Linked DNA regions of Saccharomyces cerevisiae S288C. The protein of the gene in region 1 interacts with the protein of each later gene in a biochemical or structural test. Each region holds a gene or a part of one and is shown in the gene's direction. Other genes may lie near its edges. The genes, in order: ENT3, GGA2 and TDA3.

Region 1 (3,699 bases):
TTTGAAGAAAAACATTGATATTGAAGATAAAATCCACATCGTACGATCGGGTAAAATATTACCTGGATTAAAGGTAAAGAATGCAGAACTTTATGGCGCTTCCAGTGTCATTATATATACAGACCCATTTGACGATGGTAAAGTTACTGAGGAAAATGGGTTTTTACACTATCCTTATGGACCAGCAAGAAACCCAAGTTATATTAGGAGAGATTCTGTAAACTATTTCAGTGACACTCCAGGAGATCCGACAACTCCAGGGTATCCCTCCAAGGATTCCGACACTGAACATATGTCACCGGTAGGGAGAGTGCCGAGGATACCATCGGTGCCGATGAGTGCTAGAGATGTCCAACCAATTTTAGAAAGATTGAATGGCAGGGGTTTTCAAATTGGGCCCGGTAGTAATATAAAAGATTTTGGATCATTCACTGGACCTTCAAGCTCTATCGATAAAGTCCATTTGCATAATGAGCTAACTTACAACATCAAGGAAATGAGTAGTGTAGAGGTTAGTATCCCTGGTATATTCACTGAGGGGGAGATTATTATCGGAGCTCATAGGGATTCGCTCGCCTCGAGTAGCGCCGGTGATGCAAATAGTGGCAGCGCTATTCTTTTAGAAATTGCACGAGGAATGAGTAAATTACTTAAGCATGGTTGGAAGCCACTGCGTCCTATCAAACTAATAAGTTGGGATGGTGAACGATCCGGCCTTCTGGGATCTACAGATTATGCAGAAGCTCATGCTGCGATTCTCAGGAGAAGGGCCTTGGTATACCTAAATCTAGATAATGCAATCTCTGGGACAAATTTTCACTGTAAAGCCAACCCACTTTTACAAGACGTGATATACGAAGCTGCTAAGCTCACGGAATTTAATGGGCACGAAGACTGGTCATTGTTCGACCATTGGAAATACACTTCTAATGCCACTATTTCTCTACTTGATGGGTTGTCTAGTTACACTTCATTTCAGTACCATCTTGGAGTGCCCGCTGCACATTTTCAGTTTAATGCCAATGATACTTCAGGCGCAGTCTATCATAGTAACTCCGTATTCGATAGCCCAACTTGGTTGGAAAAATTTACCAATTCTGACTACAAGTTACACAACACCATGGCCATGTTTGTAGGTTTGACAACGCTGATGCTGAGTGAAAACGAACTGGCAAGATTCAATACACATGTTTACCTGAAGAAAATATATAACTGGTATATCGCATGGCACTCTAATCTATCTTCAGCATTTCCCCAGGACGATGAAGTGAACAGCTTAGCAAAAAGGGTTCTGGACTTATTAAAAGTTGCCACACAGGAAGATAGCATCCAATTTGACCAACAAAATGGTATTCTCTATAAAGAGTGTAGGGAAGCTTTACCTGTTTGGGCTTTTTACAAAAAAATCAAGAGCTATATTAAACTGCAACGATCCAATAGCAAATCAAAGCAAATTGATCAATTATTTATTACACACAGAGGACTGAAAGACAGGGAATGGATGAAGTACTCTCTTTTAGCACCTAGTAAGTTTGAGGGATCTGTCGGGGAAGTTTTGCCCGGCCTTCACGAAGGATTGGCTGATATTGATAGAAACGAGGTCATTCAGTGGTTAACCATTTTGCTAAGCCAATTCAGCAACGTTCGCTATTTACTTCAATAAGCATTTAAGTACCTCACCTCAGTATATACATTTATTTTATTTGCATACGTAGAGTGACTTTGAATAATAACCATGAGAGGCTTTTTTGTATATACTCTATAAACATGGCTTCAATTTCTTATACATGTCACACCGTACGTTGTGCGAGGTGATTAGGAAAAGTAAAAGGGGACTAGAAGAATCATGAAATGATTTGTAGATACAGTTATTTGAGGAAAGCAAAAATTACCAATTCAGGAAGGTGTAGGGACGTCGATAGGAGATCACATCGTTAATTAGTGTTAGGAAGAATGAGTTTAGAGGATACATTAGCCAACATGTCATTATATGACGCCAAGAAATATTTTCGTAAAGCTCAAAATGTTGTTTTCAATTATACTGAGATGGAGGGGAAAGTTCGTGAAGCGACAAACAACGAGCCTTGGGGTGCCTCATCCACTTTAATGGACCAGATTTCTCAAGGAACTTACAATTTCAGGGAAAGAGAAGAAATTTTGTCCATGATATTCAGAAGGTTCACTGAAAAGGCAGGTAGTGAGTGGAGGCAAATTTATAAAGCCTTGCAATTGCTCGATTACCTTATCAAACACGGTTCTGAAAGGTTTATCGATGATACAAGGAATAGCATTAACTTAATTAGGATTTTAGAAACTTTTCACTATATTGATTCCCAGGGAAGAGATCAAGGAATTAATGTCAGAACTAGGGTCAAAGCTTTGATTGAATTATTGAGCGACGATAATAAGATACGCGCAGAAAGAAAAAAGGCAAGAGAAACGGCAAAGAAGTACAAGGGCGTTGCTGGAGGATCTGCCTCTGCTGATGGCAGTTTGAATTCGAAGGCAGGTTTCACGTCAACGAAAGTGCACGGCATTAGCGTGAGTGCTGATTTCGATAGTGACAATGAAGATAACGAAGATGGTTCTTTTAGTCAAAATGGATATAACGATAATGCCTCGAGAGCCACATCTACTCCTGGGCAAGGAAAACAAGAACCAGAGGACTTTGTTGACTTTTTTTCTAGTGAGTCTTCAAAACCATCTAAAGAACTCATACAAGAAGATGAAAAGAAGGCGGACGAAGAAGAGGACGATGATGACGAGTTTTCAGAATTTCAAAGCGCCGTCCCTGTTACCAACCCTGCTAATTCGTTTAACTTGCTAAACACGAGCCCAATTGAGGGTATGCCCGCCACCACGAGTTCAATGCCTTTTTATAACAGCTCCACTACCGACCAAGGCAAGATTACCCCAGCTATTGCGGAACCTAAAAAAGTAGATCCTTTTAGCTCTCTCTTTTCAACTGCAAAGGCATCTGCAGAAGCACCTAGTGCTCCTAAAGCATCCCAAGCGAAAGCCGCTGCCTCTAATCCTGTATCTAATAGCACAACTGCACTAAGTACAGATCAAGATGATGATGACGAATTTGGTGAAATGCATGGTGGAGCTGTTCAACAAGAACAGAATACCAATAATAACCATACATCATCCAAAGAAATCGATTTACTTTCCTTTTGAGTGATATTATTGGTTTACACAATATGTAAATGTTTTATAACAATAGAAAGTACTTTGTAACAGGTATTACGAACATTACTATCTAATCTCCACTGTATTTCTCCTTTATATGTTTGTCTTGATTTCGTGAAATAGTTTGTGAACATTTTTTTGATCTTTTTTTCGTAAAGAAGGGCCCTTTTCAAATTTATTTACATTTTGGTCATTTGAAAATACTTTACTTAAAAAGACGAGGAAGAAACTGTAAATCCATAGTTCGAGAGTTGAAGTGCCCTTCAAAACAAAAACTCCTGACTTTTTTTGCTCATTTTTAGTCAATGAACTAAAACTCACCTTCCTTCTCGTTTATTTTTGCCTAGCATTATAGAGCAATTATAACTATATATTAAAGTTGACGCACCGAAAAAAAAGGCACGAAAGAAAACTCTACTAATTTTTCACATCTCGAAAAAGCTCATTGCAGAAGGATTTACCAATATTTCTAAAGTTAACGTAACCATGGCACCGGAAATTTTTGTT
Region 2 (3,938 bases), on another chromosome or scaffold:
CTGTTCGATTGTGTTACGTATTCTATGTTTTTTGAGATATATTTGAAATATTTTTATAAGATACATATATATATGTGCGTATTGCTGCGACAAAAGAAGAGACAAAGAGATAGGCGTTGAAATTGACGAGACAAAGAGGAAGACATTAATTAATCATCATTTTAAATGGGATTTTTTTACTTGCAAGCTTTTGACCTGCTCTTCTAGTTTTTTTACCTTTCCTTGAATTTCTTCCAAGTCACCGTTCAGTCTGATTCTTTCGTTAACAATGTTTTGCTCCCATTGTCTAAATCTTTGCTCCTCAGCTTTGACTTGGTCAGTGAAATACTTCTTCAATGCATTTTCTTCTTCTTTGTATCTAGGATTGTGTGACAATTTCCTTGCTGGTGCAATTGCTGGAAGAGTGAAATCTTCATTCCCCTCCCCGGTGTTCTCGTGACCCTCAAGTCTTAATCTTCTGTATGTTTCGTAATGCATTTCTTGGGTGGTAGAAATCAAATCTAATAGATAAGTCCTCAGTAACAGGGCTCTGAGCTTACGGAAATCACAATGAGAATCGTTTTCGATTTCCACAAGTCCCCAAGGATACTTCCTTGCAACTACCTGAGTGCCTTGCCCATTGTCAAATTTTTTTTCAGACCCTACTATGGCAAATGGCATTGCTTCTATCAACTGTCTTGCATGTTCAACAGCGGCAGAATCTGGATTACTGCCACTTTTGGCATCTTCCTTAGAATCAGCGTCTAATGGAGGCGTGAAAATACGAATTTCTTGAGCTTCTATTACTTGCCTGATTCTGGACTTGAACTGTTGTAATTCTTGGGCAGTCAATGTATCAGCTTTCGCAATAACTGGAATCAGATTGGCTCTGGTTGACAATCTCTTCATAGTCTCAATGTCAATTGGCTTTAAACCATGTCCAGTGGGCCTGATGAAGTACAGAACGGCATGAACTCTCAAGTCAAATTTCTTAGTACGGTACGGTTGCTGCTCTTGACGCATATAAGAATCGTGTTGATCATCAATAAAATCCACCAATGGTTGCCAGGCTTTGTTGTTATTCACGTTATCTCCAAAACCTGGGGTGTCGATGACATTAACGCGTAATTCGAAATGCTTCTCTTCCAGCAAAGCTCTTGTGATGTCGATTTCTACAGTCTTTCTGATGGGTTCTTGGCGGTGTTGCTGACCATCTGCCCTTTTCAAGACAGTCTGAAATAAGGTATTAATAAATGTAGTTTTACCCAATCCGCTCTCACCACATAACATCACGGTGAATGTACCACCTTCTTCATTAACAATTTTATAACGCTGGTTGGGAAGATTGGATATCCCTACAGGAGGAGGAACAGGGGCAGCAGTCGCAGTGGCAGCACTCATTATTTGATACAATATGTGATGTAGTTCGTTATCAATACTCTTCAGGTCAAGATCCTATATCTTGCTGCACCTTTCAAGACTTTGATCTACTCAAAACAAACAATGGTGATTTCGAAAAAAATTTCGGATTCTTCACTTTTCCAGCGCCCTGTTTTTTTTCTGTAATCACGATTGCAAAAAAAAGAGACTTACCATAGGACAATTTCCATAAACAAAACAAAGAGCAACATAACTCATAGCTGAATTGCTAATCGTGATACTGCATCATGTCCCATCCGCACTCACATAGCATATATTTGTCTGAGTTGCCCGTCAGGAAACCTCAAGCCTTGGGCAATCCTCTTTTGAGGAAGATTCAAAGAGCTTGCAGAATGTCACTTGCTGAACCAGACTTGGCGTTGAATCTTGACATTGCTGACTACATTAATGAAAAACAGGGCGCTGCCCCTAGGGATGCTGCCATTGCACTTGCTAAACTGATCAACAATAGAGAATCGCACGTGGCAATATTCGCGTTATCTCTATTAGACGTGCTTGTCAAGAATTGTGGATACCCATTCCACTTGCAAATTTCTAGAAAGGAATTTTTGAATGAACTGGTCAAGAGATTTCCAGGTCACCCACCATTACGTTATTCTAAGATTCAGAGATTGATTTTAACTGCTATTGAAGAATGGTATCAAACAATTTGTAAACACTCAAGCTACAAGAATGATATGGGTTATATTAGAGACATGCACCGTTTGTTGAAATATAAGGGTTATGCATTCCCCAAAATCAGTGAATCCGACCTAGCAGTTTTGAAGCCTAGTAATCAATTGAAGACCGCTAGTGAAATTCAAAAGGAGCAGGAAATTGCTCAAGCTGCAAAACTCGAAGAATTGATCAGGCGTGGTAAACCTGAAGATTTGAGGGAAGCTAACAAATTAATGAAAATCATGGCAGGGTTCAAAGAAGACAATGCCGTTCAAGCTAAACAGGCTATTTCCAGTGAATTGAACAAATTGAAGCGTAAAGCCGATTTGCTGAATGAAATGCTGGAATCACCTGACTCACAAAACTGGGATAACGAAACTACACAAGAACTTCACAGTGCATTAAAGGTAGCTCAACCAAAATTTCAAAAGATCATTGAGGAAGAACAGGAAGACGATGCGTTAGTGCAGGATCTATTGAAGTTTAATGATACAGTTAATCAACTATTGGAAAAATTCAACTTATTGAAAAACGGTGACTCCAACGCTGCTTCGCAGATACATCCAAGTCATGTTTCTGCTCCGTTACAACAATCTTCTGGTGCTTTAACGAATGAAATCAACTTAATCGATTTCAATGATTTGGACGAAGCGCCCTCTCAAGGCAACAACAATACCAACGGCACGGGTACACCAGCAGCAGCGGAAACATCTGTCAATGACTTATTGGGCGATTTGACCGATTTATCTATTTCGAACCCTTCAACCGCTAACCAAGCATCCTTTGGTCTGGGAGGCGATATCGTGTTGGGGTCCTCTCAACCCGCACCACCAGTTACTACTACTAACAACTCGAACAACACTTTAGATCTTTTGGGACTTTCAACTCCTCAATCGCCAACTAATTCCCAAGCAGTAAACAGTAGTGGGTTCGATCTTTTGATGGGATTTAATCCAACAACAGGTACTACTACTGCGCCCGCAAGAACCCTAGTCAATCAGTCTCCTAACTTGAAGATTGAGTTCGAAATATCTAGGGAGTCAAACTCAGTTATAAGGATAAAATCGTTCTTTACAAACTTAAGTTCGTCACCGATCTCCAACTTAGTGTTCTTATTAGCAGTCCCTAAGTCAATGTCTTTGAAATTGCAACCCCAATCGAGTAACTTTATGATTGGCAACGCTAAAGATGGTATCTCTCAAGAAGGTACAATTGAAAATGCGCCAGCTAACCCTTCAAAGGCTTTGAAAGTCAAGTGGAAGGTCAACTATTCTGTCAACTCCACCCAAGCTGAAGAAACTGCTGTTTTTACGTTACCTAATGTATAATCCTCTGGCGTTTCTTATCAATCCTTTCTCTTCTCTATGTATATTTTTAGAAGGATAATACCTCTATGTAGACAATCTTATAAAGATCTTCGCAACAATACATATTTCACTTACTAATATATGTTGCGTTTTCATGCATCAAAAGTAGTTAGCAATGCTAGATCGTGTAAAGGAAAAAAAAGAGAAATAGTATAATTCGCCATCCTCATAACCACTGAAAAATCGAAGTTAACCAAAAGGAAAGTTGAAATGGAGGAAGTGTTCCGTTTTTACTCGAACTCTAGAAATATCTTCATTCATAAAAGCCTTTCATTAAAACCATCCACCATTGATGACCCCAAAAGTGGATATGGCCTTTTCGTAGAACCTTCGAAGTTCAAGAATGATGAATTGAAAAGTGAAACTATCCAATTGCTCCGAATCCCTAAGCGCTGCACGTTTAATATAAACACACTTCTGGCTCTCTTGGGAGATGAGGACGAATTTTCTTCAAAGGAAGAATTTCAAAGAACTAATGACAAAATTAAGATTGCT
Region 3 (3,921 bases), on another chromosome or scaffold:
TTGTTCGAAAGTTTCAGTAGAAACAACGGATTTGAAAGCTTCAACATCTAAAGTGTATCTGGTTGGCAATAAATGGTTGTAGTTGACGACCTTGATGAAAGGCTTGATCTTGGTTCTCTTAGCAACCTTCTTGGCACCGTGCTTCTTGGTGACCTTCAATGGGTATCTTTCAATACCGGCAACCAAAGCGTGACCAAATGGGTGAGACTTGGAACCTTCATCATGTGGTTTAACGATAACAACCTTCTTACCGGCGTAACGACCACGGACAACGACAGCTGTGTAAAAAAAGGAAGGAAAAGAAATAGTTAGTAAATGTGAACCCTTCTTAAAGTTTGGCGAATTCTCAATTTTGTTCTTCAATACTAGGGAGAGAAAAATTATCATAGGCCCACGAATTTTTAATAGGGCATGGAAAGAACTACAGTAAATAAAAGGCCCTGGTCGCCTGCGTACATGTGCCTATGGTCTTAGCAAATATATCGCGGAACTTTCACCATCTTATTTGGTGGCTATTGATGCTTTTTTCTTTTAAATTACAACTTTTTGATAACCCTTCCACTGCCTCGTATAGCTCAATGAATATGAATAATCGTTAGTTTCGCTCCTAAATCATTCATCTTTTTGTCCAATATTTCTATTAATAAGCTATCATTCAAATTTAAAGGTTTTTTCCCAGATCTAACATCTCCACGCTTTTTCCTCCCTACTCCCATATGAAGATACAATACTCGAATTCAAACTCAAATTATACAACATCAACTGCTAATAACTTGGATTTCTAATACCACAGTTGCACGGTTTTTTGTTGATGTCCAAAAACTGAAAATGATACGTACCAACTTTACCAGCTTTCAAGAACTTAGCCATTTTTTTCTTTGGTTATGCTTTTGTTTTAACACGTTGAGACTATCTAAGAAATTCTAAAAATCTAATATATCTTTAATTTTAGCTCAAAACTACGGCAGTATGTTTTACATGAACGAACACTTTACTAGTGAAAAGAATTTCAGGAAACCTGCCTTCGGGCGAATCTCTGCAGCAAGAGCGTAGGCGGAGCTCTGCTGGAAAGACTTTGTCTCAGACAGTTCTGTCGTGATGGGAGAACTGAGCGGATCACTCCCATTAGTTTGAGAGGAACTTCTCTCCGCAGCCTTGATTCTGCCTCGGGACTCCACCTGGAATATTGTTATCGGCTCTTTCAAGAAATACAGGACTCATAAGGTGAAAAAAAAAAAAACAGTGTAGGTGCAACAGCAAAAAATGTAAAGATGTAGGTGTACGGATGCATTAACGTCTTTCGAGGCCCTTTCCATTCTTCCGTGAAAAATATTCACTGAACGTATAATATGAGACGGTTCCGTCCGAGTCCCCTTAGCTGGAATCGTGTAAGCCAATTTATCAATACATGCAGCCTTGGTGCTTTTGTGCGTCTATCCCCTACATGCATAAGATTACGTATGAATGAAAAAAGCACGACATAGAAGTGAAACCATATCTGTAACCTGGCACACGTACTACAAAAGTTATATTGTTCCTTTTTTTTTTTTTTTTTTTTCTATTGTTAAATCAAGACTTAAAAAAAATCAGCCAACAAGTAATTCTGTTTGATAGTTCAAGTCACTCAGCAAAAGATTTTCGTGCTCTCCAATACACCATCTAAGTATCAATAGCATTTTAACCAAGCAACAGAAGGAATAGTGTTTATAAATGGGTGAAGATTTTATGCACCCACCGTTTCAAACGTACCCTTCAAAGAACAGCGAAGGGAAAAAACATATTGTCATTGTAGGTGGCGGTATCATCGGTTGCTGTACTGCTTACTACTTGACCCAGCATCCAAGTTTCAGCCCTTCGACGCATCATATTACCATCATTGAATCGAGGCGCATTGCTGGAGGGGCTTCTGGTAAAGCAGGTGGCTTGCTTGCATCTTGGGCTTTCCCTCACCAAATCGTACCTTTAAGTTTCCAGCTACATCAGGAGTTGAGTGATGAATATGATGGAGAAAACAACTGGGACTACAGAAGATTGACGACTGTGTCCTTAGAAGCAGATGTTCGCGAAGAAGTCATTGAAAACTACGAAAGACTGAGCAAGAAGGCATATAATCTGAATGTCCCTCCTCCAAAGAAGAGACCGGGCTACATATCCAACAAGTTTAACATCGGGGACTCTAATTCATCTTTGAGTTCTTCGGGCTCTTCTTTGAAAAACGACTCCGCTAGTAACGAGGAAGAAGGATCAGACATTCATGTTTCTAGCTCAGTACCCAGTTTACACTCTCTAACAAATGAGCGCATGAGAAGCCACACAAATAGCGCATCTGATCTTGACTCTGTAAGTCCCGTGGAGCAACTGAGAGAGACTAATATCCATAATCCTTTGCCTGCTGATTTAGATTGGATAAGAAGAGAATTGGTTAATGATTGGTCATCACTAGGTGGTACTGATACCACAGCGCAGCTTCATCCCTATAAATTCACCCATTTCATCTTATCGAAGGCAATGGAAACAGGTGCTGTCGATCTTCTCCTAGGTAAGGTAGTTGGGCTAAAGTGTGACGAGATGGATTGTGTTCATTCTCTTAAGTACCTTCCATCTGTCGTCAAGAATCGCAGAAATAGCAGAGGGCATGCAGAAAATCCAGACATTAAGCTGGGTACAATCTTCAACGATGAGAACGCGAAGCCCATTGAAATCAATGACATCCAGCAGATTGTTTTGAGTATGGGACCCTGGACTTCCAAGATTCTAAAAGATTGTCCAATTTCTGGATTGAGAGCCCACTCTGTCACCATTAAGCCTAGTGAAAAGACAGTTTCACCTTACGCTATTCTTGCTGAACTAAAAGTTAACGACCGTGAATTTTTCTCCCCTGAAATGTATGCTAGAAAAGATGAAGTTTATGTGTGCGGCGAAGGCGACACTTTAGTCAATATACCTGAAAGTTCGGACGATGTGGAGGTAGTTTCGGAGAAGTGTGATGAATTGTACCATTACGTATCCAAATTATCGCCAACTCTATCAAAGGGCCATCTCTTGCGGAAACAAGCCTGTTTTTTGCCAGTTTTAAACGTTCCTACAAGTTCTGGTCCCTTAATTGGTGAGACAAATGTCAAGGATCTTTATATTGCAAGTGGACATTCTTGTTGGGGTATTAACAATGCGCCAGCAACAGGTAAATTAATGGCTGAGATTCTCCTTGATGGCGAAGCAACCTCTGCGGAAATCTCAAGTTTGGATCCAAAGTTATATTTCGACGCCACCATCCTTTCTTAATCAAGCCGAGGAGTAAAAAGGTCAAGAAAAGTATATGCACAAATTTGTACATATAAGAGCTTATTTATTTATATATTTAAAATTTCTGAGGCCATTTAATGTGTATATATTTAACGAATACCTAAATCTATATATTTCTTTTTTTTTTTTCTCTCTCTCTCTCTCTTTCTCTTTCTCTCTTGGCGTCTATCCTGTTTGCCCTTGCGCATGCTACCGATTGCACGTGTAGTATTCTACTTGAGGTTGAGCTGATTACTAATTGCTATTATCATTGTTGGCGCGACCTTAAACCTGGACCAATAACACAGGCCGAACCACTAGCTTCGCAAAAAAAAAAGTAGGGATGTGCCGAAAAATTTCCGCGACCGTAGCAGACACCCCTGATGAAGAAGCTATAACTTGTATATAAGAGCGTTGCATCCCCAAAATATACAAGCTAGCTACAGCGATTGCTTTTCACTTGCTGCTACAGGAACGAAACCCCAATTGATAACTATACCTCCTAAAAACGTACCAGGATGTTCGCGAAAACAGCAGCTGCTAATTTAACCAAGAAGGGTGGTTTGTCATTGCTCTCCACCACAGCAAGGAGAACCAAAGTCACCTTGCCAGACTTGAAGTGGGACTTCGGTGCATTGG

The links.
Region 2: the proteins of ENT3 (region 1) and GGA2 form a complex in vitro, tested with the Saccharomyces cerevisiae proteins (2 studies listed by BioGRID).
Region 3: the proteins of ENT3 (region 1) and TDA3 form a complex in vitro, tested with the Saccharomyces cerevisiae proteins (one study listed by BioGRID).

What each region holds. Positions count from the first base shown.
Region 1 is NC_001142.9:654,218-657,916, reverse strand, and holds ENT3 (Ent3p), read left to right. Parts: upstream 1-1,953; coding exon 1,954-3,180; downstream 3,181-3,699. Other genes in the region: VPS70 (putative zinc metalloprotease), read left to right, coding at 1-1,663; YJR124C (uncharacterized protein), read left to right, coding at 3,679-3,699. UniProt on the Saccharomyces cerevisiae protein: Involved in the recruitment of clathrin to the Golgi network and endosomes to form clathrin coated vesicles. Plays a role in the trafficking of clathrin between the Golgi network and endosomes.
Region 2 is NC_001140.6:326,657-330,594, forward strand, and holds GGA2 (phosphatidylinositol 4-phosphate-binding protein), read left to right. Parts: upstream 1-1,646; coding exon 1,647-3,404; downstream 3,405-3,938. Other genes in the region: septin CDC12, read right to left, coding at 157-1,380; CTM1 (cytochrome c lysine N-methyltransferase), read left to right, coding at 3,654-3,938. UniProt on the Saccharomyces cerevisiae protein: May play a role in the regulation of membrane traffic through the trans-Golgi network.
Region 3 is NC_001140.6:123,470-127,390, reverse strand, and holds TDA3 (Tda3p), read left to right. Parts: upstream 1-1,710; coding exon 1,711-3,282; downstream 3,283-3,921. Other genes in the region: 60S ribosomal protein eL27 RPL27A, read right to left, coding at 1-278, 840-870; superoxide dismutase SOD2, read left to right, coding at 3,801-3,921. UniProt on the Saccharomyces cerevisiae protein: Putative oxidoreductase that negatively regulates the retrieval of cargo from late endosomes to the Golgi. Regulates YIF1 and KEX2 localization. Required for fast DNA replication.